Mus musculus: one gene and its partner. The protein of the gene in region 2 interacts with the protein of the main gene of each other region in a biochemical or structural test. Links are inferred from orthologs where the notes say so. Each region holds a gene or a part of one and is shown on either strand. Other genes may lie near its edges.

Region 1 (10,344 bases), on a different chromosome or scaffold from region 2:
TAAGCTTGTCATTGTGCCCCCTTTCATTATGCACAAATAAAAGTATAGATGGATCCCCAAATGGTGTGTTTCTTTCTGTTAGATTATCTTGTAAGCTGCTCATGAAGATATAATTTACAAATAACTTTTAAAAGCCTAATATACAACTGAGCGCAGTGGGGTGAGAGCAAAGAAAGTGCTTACATTGCTTCTCTCACTTTCACACTAGGCCCATGCCGGCTGCTATGGAAACATTTCCTGCTCTCTACATTATTGAAAACTTTTTAAATGTACATTTTGAGCTAAGGAAGACTCACGATTTTTTTAAAATTTATTTTCTGGCTGTAACACAGTTTCCAAAATGCAGTATTCTTTCTAGTAAGCATGAATAGCACTCATATTTTTAGAAATGTTGGGAAAAGAAAGAAGAAACAAACTCAGTTTTGTGTCTTGAGGAATTATGCTTCTCTGGGAGAAAGAAACAGAACCTTCAGTGCGTGTATGGGCAACGAAACCTAGGTGTGGCTACAAGGGCTGGAAGAAGTGTAGGAAGGCTGAGCGGCTGTGCGCATGTCAGACTGTTTGCCTGCCCCCATGCCTTCTACTCCACACTTACTCAATCATTTTGCACACACTACCAAAAGTGTGCTGTTCTCCTGAAAAGTGGCTTTAAAAGTCCATCCACGAGAAGGTTGGGATATGCACAGCTAAAATAGTTGAAAATTTGGTGAGCTTTGAAAACAGCTCCAACCCACGGGTCTTTCAGTGAGCCTTTTCTTTTCTCCAGTTCTGGTTTATTCATCTAGATTGGTTCCAAGTTTACAGAACTTCAAAACTCTGTGACTGGTTTTTATCCCATTTTATTCTAGAGACAGGAGTTTTTCTGGAGTCCCAAAATGCCCTGGAACTTAGGTTGATCCTCATGTCTTATCCTACCAAGTCCTGGATTACATGCATGCACCACTAGGTTCAGTTTGTCTGCAGTGTACAGAAGTTCCTTTGGCCCATTCCTTCTGAGAGGAGACCAGTCAAAGATGTGGTAACAAGTGTGTCTAGTTGAAATATTCTCTCTCTTGTACTAAGGATACATTTCTTTTCTCCTTCAACATCTCTGAAAATACTGGCAACCTTAAGTGCTCAGGTAGCAGAAACATAAATTCCCCCAGGAATTCCTAAATACCTCCAGCCCTTCTGGAAGATTCTCTCCTAGGAAGAATACAGAATGCTTCATCAAATAAAGCATTTAAAAATGATAATAGTAATAATACCCCACCACCATCACCACCATAACAAAACAGCAGCAAAGGACTCTCTTCTACTCCAGTAGCATTTTAGTCAAATTCCAATATCTCATGATGTGGGCAGTTGTTCCTGACTTTGCACCCATTTCTCAGCATTTGGTCATTTCTAATTTTCTTTCATTTTCGTTATTTTGAGAGAGGGTCCTTTGTACTCAAGTCTGGCTCCAAACCTCCTATGCAGCTGACGATGGCCTTGAAAGATCTTCCTGCCTCCACCACCACTCCAGGTTTAATGTAGTGCTAAGACTCAAACCTCAGGTTTCATACATGTTAGGCAAGCACTTTACTAATAGAGCTATATCCCCAGGCCTGGATTTTTAACTCTGCCTTTTTGTCCCCACTACATTTTGTCTTGGTCTTCCTGGGACAGAAAGGCCATCTTTTCCACCACGGACCTGTCTAAACCATTCCTTTCCCCCATCCTTTTTTAAACTGAGGAACCCTGGAATTTTGTGAAATTTTTCTAATTTTTTTTCCATCTTGGATCCTTTAAAAAATGCACACAGCAAAAAATTGCATGTGTCTGTTTTCTCTCTGTGGTTTGGGCATTTTCTTTAAACTGCCTTGTAGGTCAGCAAAGAAATGTCAGGGCTAGAGGACTGCCCCACCCCCCACCCCCAGAACCTTTGTGCTGGCTGCTTGGGCTCCTCTGCAGAGTGAATGAGCTGTGGCCAACACATGCACACATCCTATCCCTGACAGGCAGATAAAGGCCTGTTCACTGATGGTCTCCTCGATTGTCTAAACCACAGGTGGTTTCATGTGCATTTCTCAAAGGAAGTGTTGAGCAAAGGAAATCCACTGGGTTTGGTAATCCACCACCCACCCTACAAGCCAGTATTTTCACAAGCCCAGTTTTAGAAGAAAAGTTCCTCCTGTGGACATTTGCTTTGTATGCTTCAGCCTTGCTGAGATATTGTGTAAGCTAATGATCTTAAAATATTGCTTTATTTGGCTTAATAGATCTGCACCCTTCGGAAAGAACAGAGTCATCCATGAAGGAGCTTCAAGTACCTTCATTTTACTGTTAACAAGTGATAGCTCGTTTTTCCTCCCTTTCTACATGTTGTGGCCTGGCCAGAACAAGGACTTTGCGTGTACCCGCCAATTAAATATGCAGCTCAGATGACTGCCGATTAGGAGGACTCAAGCCCTTCGGGTCAGCCGATGGTTATCTGGCCCAGATTTCACCTGTCCTGCATTTGTCCTCTAAGCTCAAGCATTCCTTATGAGGATTTCACTAAGTTCAGATCATCACTTACTGGTAAACACGTTTACTTTAATAAAGCCGATTTTAAACATTGAGCTTCATTTGCAAACTGGCCGCTAGACAAGGACAAACCAATTCTAAATTCCTTTCTAAAGCAAATACTATTTTTACCCTAAATTCCACTTGTTCAATACCAGATAGTTGGTTAGCCAAGTTCATGTTGATACCTAATGCTAGTGTACCAAACCAACACCCTTTGCGTTGAGTGATATGTAATAAATTCAATGTTGGCTTTCCAAAACTCCTGAAAGGCTCTAACTACACGTGAGTTCCTCCCCCCTACCCCTTCATTCCACAGCCCCCTTCTTCCAACCATGGTGGCTATACCAATTTCAAATATTTTCATTAACTCTTCCATGTAACCCATGAGGAACTCTTATGATGACCTCCCAATCATTTGCTATAGACAGGGTATTTCACAGACCTGGACTAAGCCAGAGCTGTTAGGCCAAGGCAGTTTACGTTTGTCTCTTCTATGTCCCAGTGACCAAGAGGCAAGGCAGTTTTGCAAGGGTTTTATCACTCATTTAACTACTCCTTCCAGTCACCAAGCAGACACACCAATCAGGTTTTAAAACTTTATTTGCATATTAAAAAAATTGTGCATTCCAATAATTAAAATTGTTTGAACAAAAAAAAATGGCACTCTGATTAAACTGCATTTTACATCCTGCAGGACATCTTTGACCATCTTGAATTTTCCTCTCTATTTCATCATCTCCCACCCAGCTTTTTCCTTCACCAACATGCAAGTTCTTTTCCCTCTCTGCTAGCCAGACCATCAGATGGGTGGGAGAGGCAGGGGAGGCCTTCCTGCTCAGTAGTTCTGATTCTTTGATGTGAAAGGGGCAGCACAGTCATTTAAACTTGATCCAACCTCTTTGCATCTTACAAAGTTAAACAGCTAAAAGAAGTAAAATAAGAAGGCAATGCTCGTGGAATGTACAGTGCATATTGGCGGCGCTCGCCTCATTACGATTCGCCAGCTTGCTTCTCTTGTTCAATTGCTGTGAAGAAAAGAAAAAAAAAAGGAGACTTAGAGCATTCTATAAAATGACATGATTTCCATTTAAAAACCCTATAAAAATTCTAGAAAGACACATAGCAGCCTCGCTAAGCAAGACATGCTAAACAGAAGTACAGTTACCCAATAAATGTATATGCACAATATGGAATATGAAATATTCCATTATTAAATCACTAGAGCCCGGCGCTTGTTGACTGCAAAACAGTTTTTAATTAACCTTTGCAGGCCATATTCATCATCATCAAACTGTCGACTCCTCCCCCGCAGCCCCCCCCCCCATCCTCCCTGCTGCCCCTCCCTTCCTCCTCCCGGCCGCTGCTCCCCGCTCTGCTCTGCTCCCGCCCAGCCCGTTCTGAAAATGGGTGGGGGCGAACAGCTTACTTTCTTTTGAAGGCAGAGGATTTTTCTCTTGCGTTTCTGTTTTCTTCAACTTCGACTTATCGAATTTCTCGATCTCAGCCATATCGGGTTTGTCAGACATGGTTGCTGGAAGGAGCTGCAGGTACAAAAGCCAAGACCAGAGCTAAGAAAGAGCCACCCACCCTCGCCTCTCCCAGTTCCAAAAGCACACCCCCACCCCGCCGGAAAGCCCAAAGCCTGAAATCCTACTGCCTCTCCCTCTGTGTGCTTTCCTTGTCGAGTCCTCTCTAAAGATCTTCCTCTTTCTATAGGAAAAAAATCTTCCCCCTTAATATTCCCAAAGGGAAGATTCAAAGAACGAAGGTGGAAATAGTCAAAGGTGAGTATTCCCGTATAATAAAATTCACCATTGCGGAATGTTAACATTGCAGCTTTGAAAAAATTAAAGTCTGGATAGATCGAAGCCATTTCCAGTTTAAGTGGGGGAAAGTCTAGTAAAATCTCTTAAAAAGGAGCCAAGGTCGCAATACGCATCTCCGTTTTCTAGAAGGGCTTGCTCTCCAAAAGATGCCAGGCGGTCCAGCTTTCTCCTCCTCACAAAGGCGGGGGAGCTGACGCCGCCAGCTGCCGACCACCGCCCTACTCGCTTCCTCTCCTCTCTCTAGTCCAACAATGCTGCCTTGGCACACAAAACTGCCTCCCCACTTCTCGCAAAAGCATCTTGATCTGCATACAGGGGCCTTTTGACGGCCTTTGCATACATTCGTCTGCAAGGGCTTCCGAATTTTCACGCTAAAGGCCGGGAAGGTTAAACCCGCCACAGATAACAGCCCTCGAAGCCATTAGGCGATTAAGGGGAGCACAGAGCGTTTGAACAAAGGATCTTTCTAATTCTGATTAATTACAGCTAGCTAGGCAAGGGAAAATATTTCGGAGAGAGGGTCGAGGAGAAAAAAAAAACAATTCCCCTCTAAGCTGCGCAACAGAATGCCCAATTTTATGGGGTTTTCTCTTTCTTAATCAAGTTCCCCTTCCCGTTACTCGGCATCTGGAAGAGTTTAGCATCCCCCCCCCCCAATTCCCCGAAACTACCATGCCTTGGACTTGGCTTTAAGGACGAGGAGGATGAGGGGCAAGTGCCTGCGCTGGACAGGCAGGGAAGGACAGAAGGAAGGGGCCCTGGGGCTCACCCGAGCGAGCTGCGCGAACGAGGAGAGTCTGATCTGCTCAGAAGCCGCTGCGGATTGTCGGGAGGGGCGCGGCGAACGCCGCTTTATGTGTGCTTCTATGCAAATGAGGTGATGTCACTCGTAGTCCGGCTTAACTCCTTCGCGCCGCATCTCCGGAAGGGCGTTCGGAGGCTGTCAGACCCCCTCCCAACCCCCACATCCCCATTCACCAGCGCCTTTGAACCACATCGATGGCGGAACTAGAAAAGGAACAAACGCCTTCAAAATGCTTTCCCCCCCATTTGACGTCTATTTTATTATCATGAACTTTTGCAGCAGCCGCCCAAACCTGTTCTTAAGGTTCAATGCGTGATAACTAATGGCCTGAGTGGCACCTAAGGGGACAGGCTTTTCTTTACTTTGAAACCGGCTTTGTCTGCAGCCAACGCCCCCAAGATAGGGTGAGGTGTCCCTCATACAAGAGCTGCTGGGGTCTGATTCCAATGACTCAGCTTTCAGACCAGTGGACAGCCCCACCCGGCCCTCTTTGTCTCCCTCGCTTGTCTCCCCCTTGATTTGAGAGGGCGATAAAGGATCCTTGAGTGGATTTTTAAAAGAAAAGTTTTAGCGCCGCAGCATTTGTATTGTTTGCTATAATTTCCGTGAGCAATCGAGTCAAGTGCCTAACATTTGCTAGGTGTAAGGGGGCTTCAGAGAGAACACAGCCGGCCCCTTCAAAATTAAGTCAAAGTCAACTTCTGTTACTGACTGACAATAAGGAAGTTCATTTTCCTTTTCTTATTTTCATCAATTAAAAGTGATTGCTAATGGGAGCCAAGGATTCCCAAAGACCACAAGTCCATCAGCTCTATTATCTGAGGATTGAAGCTGAAGCGCGAACTAGCTTTTGAAGGGAAGGTTTTCCCTGCAACACATGTGGACGATTCAGGTAGAGATGTGCCGGTTTCAAAATGGCACCTGAGTCCGTAAGTCGCAGGGACCCACTTGCTACTAAAAAGTAATTACAGATACCAAGCTTGTGCCTGCAAGTGGCAGGTGGTTGGAGGTAGCTCCGTAGGATATTTTTAAAAGGGCATCGCTGGGATTATATCTGAGACACAGAGAACTATAAAACATTCCTTCTCCTTTTCTGTGCCCTGGAGGGATGTTTCCAGAAAGCCTTTGCTAAGCATTTTTATGGCAGAGGCTTTGCCTCTCTGGTAATGTCAAGTGTTATTAGGGACCCTAAACTGCCGCTGCTGGAGCAGCTTGGACTTCCCCATTTCTTCATCTACTTCCCTTTTACTTGGGAGGAAGGAGATGGGGGTAGGGAGGAGCAGGTGACCCATGTGGTTCCCCAGTTAATGCTCTACTTGGGAGACTGCCTTTCTGCCCTTTGGATGGGGCCCTAGACCTGTTTGAGCGCGCATTAGATGTCACTTCTCTGGTAACACATCCTCTCTCTCCCCATGTCCACTTGGAGGGAGTTCACTGCATTGTTGAAACACAGAACACATCTTGCAGGGTGCATTTCTGACTTCTGCTTGGCAGCTGCAGTTACACTGACACCATTTCGGTGGGTCATTGGATTCCAGTGTCCCTTCCTTCACTCAGCTGTCACCGTGTACGTGTCTTCCTATGACAAAGGAATGCTATCGCCTTGACCCTGGTTGCCTGTTTGCCTTAGGAAAGATTAGCCCTTACAGAAGTTATGCGGCCAGAGGAGACTGAAGAGTGGAATCTGTAAACATCTAGAATTTTCTACTTTCGTAACAGCGTAGCAGGCAGATTATTTTAGCTGCTGACTGAAAAAGAGCAGGCAGCCTGTAAGAGAGGAAGCAACTTGCCCTGGGAACTGAGTCCTCTGTAAACGGGCTTCCCTTGCCCACTGGGCAGAAAAATAGAAAAGAAAGGGTGATCCGGATAAAATGAAATGCAAATAAGAGGGTTTGTCTTAAAAGTGTCCGGGTCCTCCTGTCGATCATTCTTCTCTTAACTCTTCTCTGTAAAGTGGACAAGTGGTGATAAGGAACTGTAGGAGTTGTGGGAAGATCAAGTTCTTGGGACAATGGCGAGCACTGTGTTCTCTTCTTATTTAAAATAGAAAGTTGAGAAGAAAAGAATAAATGTGTTCTTGTTTGCCATTAACAAAAACCTCAAGTAATTTGGCATTTCATCTCTTATAAAGGGAAATGTATATATTTCATTACATATTTCTGCATAACTAATACTTGACGATATCATTTATCTAATAAATTACCAGTGAAAATTAGATATTTTGTGGGTTTTTTTTTTTTTTTTGCAAATAAAAATAACTCATTTGGCAGAGCATTTGCCTAGACTGCACCAAGCCCTAGGTTCAATCTCTAGTGTGACATAAAACAGGCCTGGCATGACTCGCCTGAAATGCCAGCACCCAGGAGGTAGAGGCAAGAGGATGCTACTAAACCAGCCTGTTTCTTGACACCTAGAAGATAGTATTTGCTCAATTAACCATCATCACACTGCTTCAGTTGATTCTCAGTACTTGAAGTCAGTTCCTTAACAGATGACTTGAATAACCGGTTTCCATCTCAGACAGTTGAATCTACTTAGCATTAATATTCCAGATGTCAGGGATAACTGCTGCTTCAGGGAAGGAAGCATTTAGAAGAAGATTAGCATATACTGGGCACAATAACCACTGAGGTGAGAGTTTTCAATTCCAATTAAAGGGACAAAGACAAAGATGTGAAGATACAATAATAATAATAATAATAATAATAATAATAATAATAATAATAATAGCTTCCAGAGGCCCTGGTCCCTTCAGCTGCATGGTGGATTCTGTTCTCTGGGGCCTTCCAGTGAAAGGCAAGCAAAGAGTCCACCTCACAAGCACTCTGCCTCTCTCAGCTCACAGGTCATGGCACCCTGTGAGAAACAAGCCAACGAAGTTGCCCCTCCCTGTGGAAGCTCATGCCTCAGGGATCCAGGAAGTGGCGCGAGCTGGCACTTTGTTTTCTTTTGCTTTCCAGTGTGGGCCTAGGCCAAAATTGTGTGCATTTCCAATGATGGAGCGACAGCCCATAGAAGTCTGAGCTTATGAAAATGAGTCCTATGATCTGAAACTTTTTTAGTTTTGGCCGGAATACTAATCAGAAGGAAAAAGAGGAGGAGCCAGGGACATGGCAGGGCAGGGCTGTCAGCTCTTTGCTTGTTCAAACCCAGCTCTTTTTGTCTGAGTTCAGGGCCTCCTACCATCTGCCCCACCTGCCTGCAGCCCACACTCCCCTGGGGGCTCCTACAATTGCCACCTTTCCTTCTGACGCTTCCTTACAGTTGACCCCGCCCCCTTGTACCCGGGAGAAGCTAAATCCCTGTGAACAGCCAGGAGTCCCTAGGTAACAGAAGATGAAAAGGACAAAGGAGGGATTTTGTACGTCCCTGAAGCCTTTGCATATAGACTAGGATTCAGTTCTCATCCTCTATGCACTGGATACAGACTTCCTCATTTTACTACGAAAGAAACTGAGGCTCATAAAATTTAAGCAACTTTCTCTAAAGCAAACATCCTATTAAAAGTCTATCTCCTTCCTTCGACTCCTGCCACTAGGTTCACTGAAGAGACCTTTTTCCAGCATTCTCTAGAGTTCTCACCCATGGCAGCTCCACGTTGTGGCTCCAGTACAGTAAAACAAAGGGCTCCCCCCTCACCCCCCGCCAGTGTGAGAAAAATGAGTGGAGGAAAACCGGCAAGCACAAACAAAATCAAGAGCTCCCCGCGCCCTGCCCCGTGCATGTGCAGCATTGCTAATTGCCCTGTCCTCTTCTTGATCTGAAGGAATTTCTGCAGCTTGAGTTTGCCTCTACAACATCCCCTCCAAGTGGTTACTCGGCCTCCCAGCTAGGAGAGCCGGTTTAAACAGAATCTTTGAGTCTTGCAGAGGGCAGTGAGTTTGGCAAGGGACTTGCATGGGAGGAAAGAGAGTGGCAGGAAATGTTGTTGAAAGGAAGGAAGGTAACAGGCTGAAGAATAATACTGCTTGCGAGCATGGTCATAATAAGAGCGGTGGTAAGAGCCAGCATTTTCTGACTTTCTGCTGTATCCTGGGAGCTCTCCCTGCAGTATCCCAGAAGACCTGATAAGGAGGCCCGCTATTTCCCTCACTTTGTAGATGAGGGAATTATAGAGAAATTAACAAACCCACTAAGCCAAGATCATACAGAAACCCCAGTGATGTGGTTGGGACTCAGAGCAGTTACCTTAGAAATGGCCTCATTGAAATGCAGAGTTTGGATCTTGGTCCGGGACCCACCGAACTTAGGAAATTAGTCTGAACAGGTGAGAGGGTGCGCCAGAGAACCTGACAGCTTCTGGAACAGGCGGAAGCACAGAGGCGCTGAGGCAGCACCCTGCGTGGGCCGGGGACAGCCGGCCACCTTCCGGACCAGAGGACAGGTGCCCACCCGGCTGGGGAGGCGGCCTAAGCCACAGCAGCAGCGGTCGCCATCTTGGTCCGGGACCCGCCGAACTTAGGAAATTAGTCTGAACAGGTGAGAGGGTGCGCCAGAGAACCTGACAGCCTCTGGAACAGGCAGAAGCACAGAGGGGCTGAGGCAGCACCCTGTGTGGGCCGGGGACAGCCGGCCACCTTCCGGACCGGAGGACAGGTGCCCGCCCGGCTGGGGAGGCGACCTAAGCCACAGCAGCAGCGGTCGCCATCTTGGTCCGGGACCCGCCGAACTTAGGAAATTAGTCTGAACAGGTGAGAGGGTGCGCCAGAGAACCTGACAGCTTCTGGAACAGGCGGAAGCACAGAGGCGCTGAGGCAGCACCCTGCGTGGGCCGGGGACAGCCGGCCACCTTCCGGACCAGAGGACAGGTGCCCACCCGGCTGGGGAGGCGACCTAAGCCACAGCAGCAGCGGTCGCCATCTTGGTCCGGGACCTGCCGAACTTAGGAAATTAGTCTGAACAGGTGAGAGGGTGCGCCAGAGAACCTGACAGCTTCTGGAACAGGCAGAAGCACAGAGGCGCTGAGGCAGCACCCTGTGTAGGCCGGGGACAGCCGGCCACCTTCCGGACCAGAGGACAGGTGCCCGCCGGGCTGGGGAGGCGACCTAAGCCACAGCAGCAGCGGTCGCCATCTTGGTCCCGGGACTCCAAGGAACTTAGGAATTTAGTCTGCTTAGGTGAGAGTCTGTACCACCTGGGAACTGCCAAAGTAACACAGTGTATGGGAAAGGTCCTGTTTTG
Region 2 (10,344 bases):
TGGGAGGCAGAGGCAGGAGGATTTCTGAGTTCGAGGTCAGCCTGGTCTACAGAGTGAGTTCCAGGACAGCCAGGGCTTTACAGAGAAACCCTGTCTCAAAAAAACAAAAAACAAAAAAAAAAAAAAGTCATAAATTAAAATAAGGGGTAGAGGGCTGGAGAGATGGCTTAGTGGTTAAGAACACTGACTGTTCTTCCAAAGGTCCTGAGTTCAATTCCCAGCAACCACATGGTGGCTCACAACCATCGGTAATGGGATCTGACACCCTCTTCTGGTGTGTCTGAAGACAGACAGTGTACTCACATACATAAAATAAATAAATCTAAAAAAAAAAGGGTAGAGGGATGAAGAAATGTCAGCCTCTGGCTTGTGAATGTTCTGGATGCATCTCTCACACGCACACATGAGACAGACTGGCCTGGTGCTGCAGCCTGTGAGTCCCAGTGAGAAGGGGAACTAAGGCAAGAGGACTCGGTTCAAGCCCAGCGTGGGCTGCACACTAAAAGTGGTTAAGTTTGAGACCAGCTGGGCTGCAGTGAGATCCTGTCCCAAGAAACAAACAGCAAAACAATCCCCCACAGCTCAAATATTACTCCCCCAATCTCAAACATTTTTTTCCTTTCACTTTGTTCTGACCAATATAACCCTGGTTTTTATGCTGGGCAGCCTTTACCCTCAGCACTAGGGAGGTAGAGGCAGGCGGATCTTTGAGTTTGAGGCCAACCTGGTCTACAGAGTGAGTTCCGGGACAGCCAGGGCTACACAGAGAAACCCTGCCTCGAAAACAAACAGCAAAGATAGATAGATAGATAGATAGATAGATAGATAGATAGATAGATAGATAGATAGAGATGATAGAGATAAGTAGAGAGAGAACATTTAAAAAAAAAAGAAAGAAGAAAAAAGAAAACCAAAACCAGGTCAGGCTCGGGCTAGAATGAGCACTGGTGCATTGGCATTGGTGAAGGGTTAGAATACTGAGTCACCCTATTCCAAGCCTGAGCCTGATCACCTCTTTAAGGAGCACTTAACGATCTCTGATGAGCTAGTAGTATGCTCTTGCCAAATAAAACTAAGTAAATTAAAACTGTTTGGTGTGACCATGTTCTGTCATCTTACAAATGTATATTCAAGGCTGACTTTGTGCCAGGTGTGATGGTGACACCAGACCTGGGTCTCTATGAATCTAAGGAGACAGACTGGCTGATTAACTTTTAGGTAGTCTGGAGCTGGCAGGAAAGATCTACATCAGAAACCAGCAGGCAGTGAGGGCTGGCTGGGGATGGAGCAGGGGCATCACCAAGGCCAGTGCTCCAGGCCGGGAAAGGCATTTCATTTTCTGGATTGTCAGATATAGAGTCCACTTCAGAGGTTCCAGTCCATCCAGTTTTATCTGCCTGCCTGTCTGTCCGTCCATCCTCTGTCTATCTATATTATACTTTGCCCTACCTTCCTCCTCAGGTGCCCTATTCTGTCCAAGACATTCCAGCGGCCCAAGCCGATCTAGTCACCATCAGGCAGATAGTCCAAGGTGAGTTCCAGTGGCCAAGGTTGTCTCTCATCACAGGCCAGGGACCTTCGGCCAAGCTGGGCTCCCAGAAGCAACATAGTGTGAACTAGGGTTGGTGTTGAAGGTAGGAGTCTTAGCTTCTGGGGCTGGGGCCTCAGTATCTCTTCATGTTGCTACTTAGCTGTCTAGACTCTTTTTGTCTGTAATGCTGTATCTTTAAATGTATTTATTTCCAGGACAGGTCTTTCCCTGTAGCCCTGGCTGTCCTGGAACTCTGTTGACCAGGGGCTGGCCTCCAACTCAGAGAGATCCACCTCCCCCTGCCCCCAGAGGGCTGGGATTAAAGGTGTGCACCACTGCCTGGCTTATTGTGTGTATGTATGTGTGAGGGGGGTTATTTTGTTTAGACAGGGTCTCACTTTGTAGCCCTAGCTGGCCTGGAGTTTACTCTGTAGACCAGGTTGGCCTCAAACTCAAGAGATCCACCTGCCCCTACCTTCCCAGTGCAATCACACTCAGTTTTTAAAATGTTTTAAAATTATTTTGGGGTTGTTTTTATTTATTCACAGGATTTCTCTGTATAACTGTTAGCTGTCCTGGAACTCACTCTGTAGAACAGGCTGGCCTTGAACTCAGCCTCTGCCTCCCAAGTATTGGGATTAAAGGCATGCGCCACCACTGCCTGGCTAAAATTATTTTGTTAATGTGTGTTTGCCTAGATGAATTTATATGCAACGATTTATATGCAACAGTTCTTGCAGGAGCCCAGAAGCCAGAAAAGGGCATGGGGTGCCCTGGAACTAGAGTTACAGGTACTGAGAACTAGGTTCTCTACTCTTAACCACTCTCCAGTCCCACCAACCCCCATCCACTTTAAAAAAACAAAAAACAAACGAACAAACAAACAAACAGGGTCTCAGGGAGGCCTGGCTGAATTCACTGCATATATAAAAATGACTTTTGAGGGGCTGGAGAGATGGCTCAGCGGGTAAGAGCACCCTTCGGAAGAGCAGTCTTCCGAAGGTCCGGAGTTCAAATCCCAGCAACCACATGGTGGCTCACAACTATCCATAAGGAGATCTGACTCCCTCTTCTGGAGTGTCTGAAGACAGCTACAGTGTACTTACATATAAATAAATCTAAAAGACTTTTTAATTCCTGATCCTGTCACCTCCACTTGAGTTGCTAACGGGCATGCCAGCATGCTCAATTCAGGTGGTTCCTGGAACTCAACCTAGGGCCTGGCAAGCACTCAGCTCCAACATCTATTGAAATGCATCTCTAGCCCTAATTCCAGAGCCTCATCACCCTAGACTGTTCCCATTGAGCAGCCAAACCCTAACCCTGTGCTGACAGCACCACCTTTGGATAACCAGTCTTACCAGGTTGTCTATGTGGCTAAGCTTCATTCCTGTATAGAGGAATAATGTTGCATGGCCTCTTAAAGGCTGCAATTGTTAAGACATCTAGGTTACTTCTCTTTTGACCATGGCTACATTCCTTACTTGTTCATGACTTGATAACACCAGAGCTGCCTGCTCTCCTCACCAATGCTTCTGTGTGAGGCCCTTCATTGTGGCTGCCTGTCTGGCCTAATTCCTTACCCTTTGAGAATGTGGCAGGGAGTGAACAATCTGCTCCAAGCATGGCTGGCTTTAAGCTGGGGTACAGGCTTTCTTACCAATGGGAAGGCTTTCTGCTGCTAGGCAACCAGACACACCTTTCCATTTCCCAACTCCACCCTACCCCACAGCCCTGTGCCAAACCAGAAAAACAATGGTCAGTTACTGCAGCACTTTTATTTCTTTACACAATGACGTGTTGCTGGGGCCTAATGTTCTCATTGAACAGTAGAAAACCAAAATTTGTCATTTCTTAAAGAATTGAGTACAAAAAACCTTACATAAATTAAAGAATGAATACATTTACAGGTGTCGATGCAAACGTTCCCAACTCAAGGCAACTAACAACCGATGGTGGTCAGGAGGGAAGAAACCAGAACTGAAACTGGGTCCTAAGGCTCGGACTTTCCCACCCTGTTAGACTGGCAAGAAGGAGTGGTAACTGGTTCAGGAACCCTTGCCAGCCTCAGGAAATCCTGGAAGTCTGCTGTTGGTTAATACCCTGCACAGATCACTCAGTGGTGCTCACAGAGATCCACCAGGCTGGGGCTTTCTCATCTACAGCGTGCTCTCCCCAGCCCCCAAGTGACCGAGCCACATGAACTAAGGACTAAATCAAGATATGCACAGGGTATTAAACATATACCAAGGGAGCAGTTAACTTGAATACAAGGTCAAAAATCAGCAACAAGTTCTACGATCCAGTGCTGATATCAGATACAAGCTTCAAGGACAAATTTCTTTTCAAAGGCTTATTCCAGTTTCATGAGGCTAGCATGAGGTGTGTACATTTGCCAGGGCAAATTGATACTTCAATATCAGCTCATGCAGCAGATGCCTGGCACCTGCTCAGTCCATCTAGAAGCATTTGCGGTGGACGATGGAGGGGCCTGACTCATCATACTCCTGCTTGCTGATCCACATCTGCTGGAAGGTGGACAGTGAGGCCAGAATGGAGCCACCGATCCAGACTGAGTACTTGCGCTCAGGGGGAGCAATGATCTGTGGAGGAAAAACACTGAATGAGCACTCATGCCCTTCCTGTGGGTCCCACTTCCCAGCCACAGGTCCTAAGGCCAGCTCAGGCCGGGTGGTAGCCACTCACCTTAATCTTCATCGTGCTAGGTGCTAGGGCTGTGATCTCCTTCTGCATCCTGTCAGCAATGCCTGGGTACATGGTGGTACCACCAGACAGCACTGTATTGGCATACAGGTCTTTGCGGATATCCACATCACACTTCATGATGGAGTTGAAAGTGGTCTCATGGATACCACAGGACTCCATGCCTAGGGAACAGAGCTCATTTAGCCACTACATTCTGTGTGTTCCATCCCTTCTGAGAGCCCCTTGGCTCCTAAATCATGTTGTGGACACCTACCCAGGAAGGAAGGCTGGAAGAGTGCCTCCGGACACCGGAACCGCTCATTGCCAATGGTGATCACCTGCCCGTCGGGCAGCTCGTAACTCTTCTCCAAGGAGGAAGATGATGCAGCAGTAGCCATTTCTTGCTCAAAATCCAGGGCAACATAGCACAGCTTCTCCTTTATGTCACGAACAATTTCCCTCTCAGCAGTGGTGGTAAAGCTGTAGCCCCGTTCAGTCAGGATCTTCATGAGGTAGTCTGTCAGGTCCCGGCCAGCCAGGTCCAGACGCAAGATGGCGTGGGGAAGGGCGTAGCCCTCATAGATGGGCACTGTGTGTGTGACCCCGTCACCAGAGTCCATGACAATGCCAGTGGTGCGCCCAGATGCATACAAGGACAGCACCGCCTGAATGGCCACGTACATGGCTGGGGTATTGAAGGTTTCAAACATTATCTGTGGAAAGACAAAGAACACCTGAGTGAGTGAGTAGCAGGGGCCCTGAGCCTCCCACACCCACACTCTGCATGCTGCATGCCACAAATGTGATGTGTGAAGAAAAAAAGAACAGAACGCAAGCAGAAACGCAAACAGAAACCTGGAGGCTTCAGGGAGGAAATGCCAGGAGAAGAGGAACAGAACCCTAGAAACACCAAAGAAACGCTTGAATGTCAGGAAATGAGGCACAACACAAAATGACTCGTCACGCCCAAGGGGAGGCAAGGTCCCGGCTCAAGCATACCTGCGTCATCTTCTCTCTGTTAGCTTTGGGGTTCAGGGGGGCCTCGGTCAGAAGCACCGGGTGCTCCTCAGGAGCCACACGCAGCTCATTGTAGAAGGTGTGGTGCCAGATCTTCTCCATGTCGTCCCAGTTAGTGACAATGCCGTGTTCGATAGGGTACTTCAGGGTCAGGATACCCCTCTTGCTCTGGGCCTCGTCACCCACGTATGAGTCTTTCTGGCCCATGCCCACCATGACGCCCTGCGAGAGAAAAGGCCGCGGTCAGACTCGCCCCACCCACCGCGCGACCCGGGCCCAGAGAGAACACAAGGGAGGCCACTCCTCTCAACTAACCTGGTGTCGGGGGCGCCCTACGATGGAAGGGAACACGGCCCTGGGGGCGTCGTCGCCAGCAAAGCCGGCTTTGCACATGCCGGAGCCATTGTCAATGACGAGTGCGGCGATTTCTTCTTCCATTGCGATCTGCGCAGGAAGAAGCCCCGGAATTAGCGCAGCCCTCACCGAACTCAGAAAATGTCCTCGGCCAGGGCCGAGCCACCCCGGAGGAGTGCAGTCCCCACCCCGGGCGGCGTAACCGTCGGCTACCGGCAGCGCCCCGTTCCGCCGCGGCGAGGAGGGGCTGCGCATTGCGTCGGGCCCCGCCCTGCCCCCAGCCGCGGCTGCAGACCCAGGCCCACCCGTCAGGCGCCCTGCGCTCCGCTCCGCTCCGCAGCGGTGCGGCAGGCAGGGTGAGCGGGAAGAAAGGGCCACAGGAAGTCACTGGGCCAAGCCCGGGGAGCGGCAGCTTACCGGCGAAGGACGCGGCGGCGACGGAGGAGCGGCAAGAAGCGCAGTGTAAGCCGGCGGCGGAGTGTGAGACCGACCGCGGCCTCCCCCGCCGCTATTTAAGCGGGAGCGGGCCGCGCGCGCGGGCGGGGGCGCGCGCGGCCCCAGAACATGTCCATATATGGCGATCTTTCCAAAAGCCGGGCGCCTATTGGCCCGCCCGCCAGGGACACGTGGGGCCCGGGCCCGCCCGCCCCTGGCCCGCGCCGCCGCCAACGGCCCCGCCCGCGCCGCCCCCGCGCGCTCGCGACCCCGGGAGGCCCGGTTCTTGCTCGCGGGGGTCTCGGCGAGTGGCGTGCGTGCGATCGGCCCTGCCCTGCCCCGGGACTGCCGCGTAGCAGGGAGGGCCCGGGCTGCGCCCCGAAACTGCCAAGCCCGGGGCGGGCCGCGCCCCGATCTGGGGTGAGTCCCGTGGCCCCCGCCCCTATGTGAATCCTGTGCCCCGCACACCCCCCAGGACCTTTCTCTACAGGGTCCGTGTGTGCCTGGCTGGGGACGGGCTGGAGGGATTCCCGGGGGTCCGGGGAGCGGCCATCACATCCCAGTCACGTGGGAGAGGGTCACCAGTTCTTCCACTTCAGCCATGTCCCTTTATTGGAGGAGGGGTCGTCACGGGGTTGGGTGTCCCTGGGCATCAAAGAAGGTGGTGGTGGTGGTGTGAGTGGGCATTGTGTTATGCTGGCTTTGCGGGACACATTGTAGGGAAACTGAGGCAGGGGAAGTCTCCCGACTTTCAGGATGGTCCAGCCCCGCCCCCCGCGTGGGTCAGCTGGCGAGACTCCTCTCCACTGATTATGAAGTCCGGGTCAAACTGGTTTTGGGCACAGAATGCTTAGGCCTTAGTCCCCTCCGGACAGGCGTGGGGGGCGGGCCGGCCTCGCTGCCCTTCTCCCGGCTGTTTGGAAACTTGTCACCCTTAGCAGGGTCGTGGCGCTGCCGTCCTAGATGGTGCCTGAAGAGAAAGCTGGCACGGGAGTTAACCGGGTTTTATTTGTAAGCTTCTGGAATGGTTCATTGTGGAATGAAGCGGAGGGTAGCAGTGAGGTGAGGGACTCCAAGGTCACAGGGCACAGAGCTTGATTCGAGCAGGTACGGGGTGCCACTCCCACCCTATGCACAGGCGCTCTCAGGCAGCCCTGCAAGGTCAGCTCCCCATCTGAGACATGAACACAAGACCCAGGGGGACCAAGCAGCCTGCCCTGCTTACCTGCTGGCCATAAACCCGTGCCAACACTCAGTCACCTTTTGTGCAACATCAGGCCTAGAAAGAAGGGCGCTGGCCCTGTGGTTGTACAGAGGTGCCTGTCAAATGGGAGCACCACCCATGAGGGGGATGCAGGGCTGGACCTCCAGGACCCCACCATGAGCCTACAGGAGCTAACAGCTAACTAACACTTGTAGGTGGGGGTGAGAGTCGTGGGGAAAGTGGAAGGTTTCGGTGAGCACTCACACCTCTGACACGCCCATGGCTACCCAAGAAGTACTGCCGGGGGCCTGGCCCTCAAATCCGAGCCTTCTCTTAAGACGCCTTTGTCTGCTTGTGTGCAGAAGGCGCTGCGAGCACGGAACGGCCATGTAAGGCCGGGTTCCCCCGGCGGGGGCGCCTTGTCCCGCCGCGGGACCAAGGTGCAACTCAGGTGTGCGGGTGGGGGCAGGGGCGGCGGGCGGCGCGCGGCCATATTTGGCGATTTCGACCCGCGCTCCGCCCGCCGCCGGGAGGCCAGTGGCCGCCCTGAGTCACGGGGGCGGACGTAACGGACGGGGCGCCGGGCCGCGCTCCTCGCCTTATTTAGTCAAGCAGGCTACCCATTGGCCCGCAGGACAAAGGCGGTTCCGGCCGGTGCGCGCGGAGACCCTCGCCTGTGCGCTTGGGATCCGAGACGCAGCCCTCCCTGGGGACGCGGGGGAGGGGTAGCCCCAGCCCCGCCGGAGCGGAGCCGCAGCCCGGCCTCCTAACGCGGTGCACGAGAAGGAGGCGCTGTGATTTGTCAGTTTTGCAACTGGGCAGTGTGAGGGAGGCCTCGCCCAAGGTCAGGTCCGGGCTGTTCTTGCCTGCTGTGGAAGTTGGCGGCCCCACCCCACTTGGAGCAGGAATTGAGAATGCCTGGCTTCCGTGAGCCTGCAGGCCAGGGCTGCAGGCTCACGATTGCAGGGCTGCCAGAAGTGGGCGTGTCTCCGTTGTAAAGAAAGACTCAGTCTAGAGAAATGATAAAAAACATTTTTCCTTTGCTGGCTTTGGTCGGCTTTTATTGTGACGTTGTTGCATCTTATTTCATATTCCGGTGGATTAATGCAGCAGTTGAAGAGTTGGGGAGATTTACTGCAGGCTGGCTCCATCCGACACCCTCCCAGGTGGTCACTGCAACCTGTCACTTCCTTCTCCCTGCGGCCACTTTGGATTCCCCGGAGAGTCCGGTCACCTCTGTGCTTGGTACCTGGATCCTCCAGCAAGGCTCCGCCCACCAAGGCACTTCATACTCACTTTCTCCTTGTTAGGCAACGGGAACGAGAAACATGGTCTCCACTGTTCCTGCCCTCAGGGGTGTCAACCTAACCTTAGAACAGAAGAGAGTGAAAAGGCCGGGAGCATCAGGCCAGGTTTGGAATGTATGCCAAGGTTACCCTCAGTAAGGGAGCTGACGTTACAGTGTAATGAGTGAACTCCTCTGATGTCTTTGAAACTTTTAAGTAAACCTAAAAGCCCAGAATAAAAAGGGAACTGTAAAAGTCTGAGGAGCTCAACGTCTAAATAACTGGAGTCCACGTTCCTGTCTAGGCCTTTGCAGACACATCACATGCAGGTGGGGACATCTTGTCTGTGCCGAGAGGTACAGGTCTGGCCTTTCCACTGGAAGGGAGGCAGTAAACCGAGGGTGAGTCTGAGCCAGCCTCGGGTGGCAGAAGCCAGGACACATTACAACCATGAAGGTCAAGGGTCTGCACACATGAAACAAAGTGTGTTGGCCAACAAACAGAGCCTCCCCACCCACCCTTAGGAAGGGCATCTGCCCGGCTGGAGGAGGTTCCCAGCTGCTCCGAGGTGTGCCCAGCCACTTAGTGCACCTGTGTCAGACCTGAGGCTGACTAGGCAGGCCTGCCTGCCTAGGCCTTGGCCTGATCTCAAAGATTCGCTCCACCTCGGCTGGGTGTGGTGGCCCACACCTTTGAATCATTACTCTAGCAGCAGAGGCAGGCAGATCTCTTGTGAGTTCAAAGCTCACCTGGTGTACACAGTGACTTCCAGAACAGCCTGGGCTACATAGAGAAAACTGTCTCAAAAAAGAGAAAGCTCTTCTCTCAGGACCTTGCTCCCTGTTATGCCCACTAAGCCGCTCCAGCACCCAGGGACCATCTGTTCCTCACTGCTGTGGTGAGATGTGGATGTGGTAAGTGGTCTGAGAAAGTGTGTCCAAGGGCTGGCTGCCTCCTCCTGAGAGACATGCACCTCCTAAAGCTGATAGCCCCCTTGCAGCTCTTACCCACTTTCTGCACAACAAGAGGCAGATCCTGCAGCCACCTCTAGTCCTCTGACCAGCCCCGCTTGTCTGTACCTGCTTCCAGTTCAGCTTTCATTTTAGCAGGCTGGCCACCCCAGTCAGGTTTCTGATCTGTTCCATCCATGCTCTGCGCACCTTGGTGTCACTGACTGGGTTCCACCTCTGCCACTGACTGCCCCCACCCCCAGGCCCATGGACTGGAGGCTTCTGTTTATACCCACTGAGTAGCTAGCCACAGAAACTCCATCGTGGGCTGGTGAGATGGCTCAGCAGGTAAGAGCACTGACTGCTCTTCCAACGGTGTTGAGTTCAAATCCCAGCAACCACATGGTGGCTCACAACCACCCGTAATGAGATCTGACGCTCTCTTCTGGTGCGGCTGAAGACAGCTATAGTGTACTTATTTATAATAAATCTTTGGGCCGGGTGTGGTGGCACACACCTTTATCCCAGCACTCAAGAGGCAGAGGCAGGTGGATTTCTGAGTTCGAGGCCAGCCTGGTCTACAGAGTGAGTTCTAGGACAGCCAGGGCTATACAGAGAAACCCTGTCTCAAAAAAAAAAAACCCAAAAAATAAATAAATCTTTGAGCCTGAATGCACAGGGCTGACCGGAGCAAGCAGAGGTCCTAAAAATCAATTCCCAACAACCACATGAAGGCTCACAACCATCTGTACAGCTACAGTGTGCTCCTAGACATAAATCTTTAAACAAAGAAGCTCTGTCCTTTATGAAGCTGGATGTGGTGCACATGGCAGGAAGCCAAAGGAAGGGAGAGGGAAGGCT

The links.
Region 1: the proteins of Actg1 (region 2) and Tmsb4x are reported together in a solved structure, tested with the Homo sapiens proteins (2 studies listed by BioGRID, with this or other methods). The link is inferred for Mus musculus from reciprocal best matches to the Homo sapiens genes ACTG1 and TMSB4X.

The regions. Positions count from the first base shown.
Region 1 is NC_000086.7:167,203,979-167,214,322, forward strand, and holds Tmsb4x (thymosin beta-4), read right to left. Parts: upstream 5,241-10,344; 5' UTR 5,128-5,240; intron 4,074-5,127; 5' UTR 4,059-4,073; coding exon 3,959-4,058; intron 3,558-3,958; coding exon 3,523-3,557; 3' UTR 3,116-3,522; downstream 1-3,115.
Region 2 is NC_000077.6:120,342,400-120,352,743, forward strand, and holds Actg1 (actin, cytoplasmic 2), read right to left. Parts: upstream 6,097-10,344; 5' UTR 6,026-6,096; intron 5,699-6,025; 5' UTR 5,693-5,698; coding exon 5,570-5,692; intron 5,477-5,569; coding exon 5,237-5,476; intron 5,138-5,236; exon of another isoform or gene 5,093-5,137; intron 5,015-5,092; exon of another isoform or gene 4,951-5,014; coding exon 4,512-4,950; intron 4,420-4,511; coding exon 4,238-4,419; intron 4,135-4,237; coding exon 3,991-4,134; 3' UTR 3,288-3,990; downstream 1-3,287. UniProt on the Homo sapiens protein: Actins are highly conserved proteins that are involved in various types of cell motility and are ubiquitously expressed in all eukaryotic cells.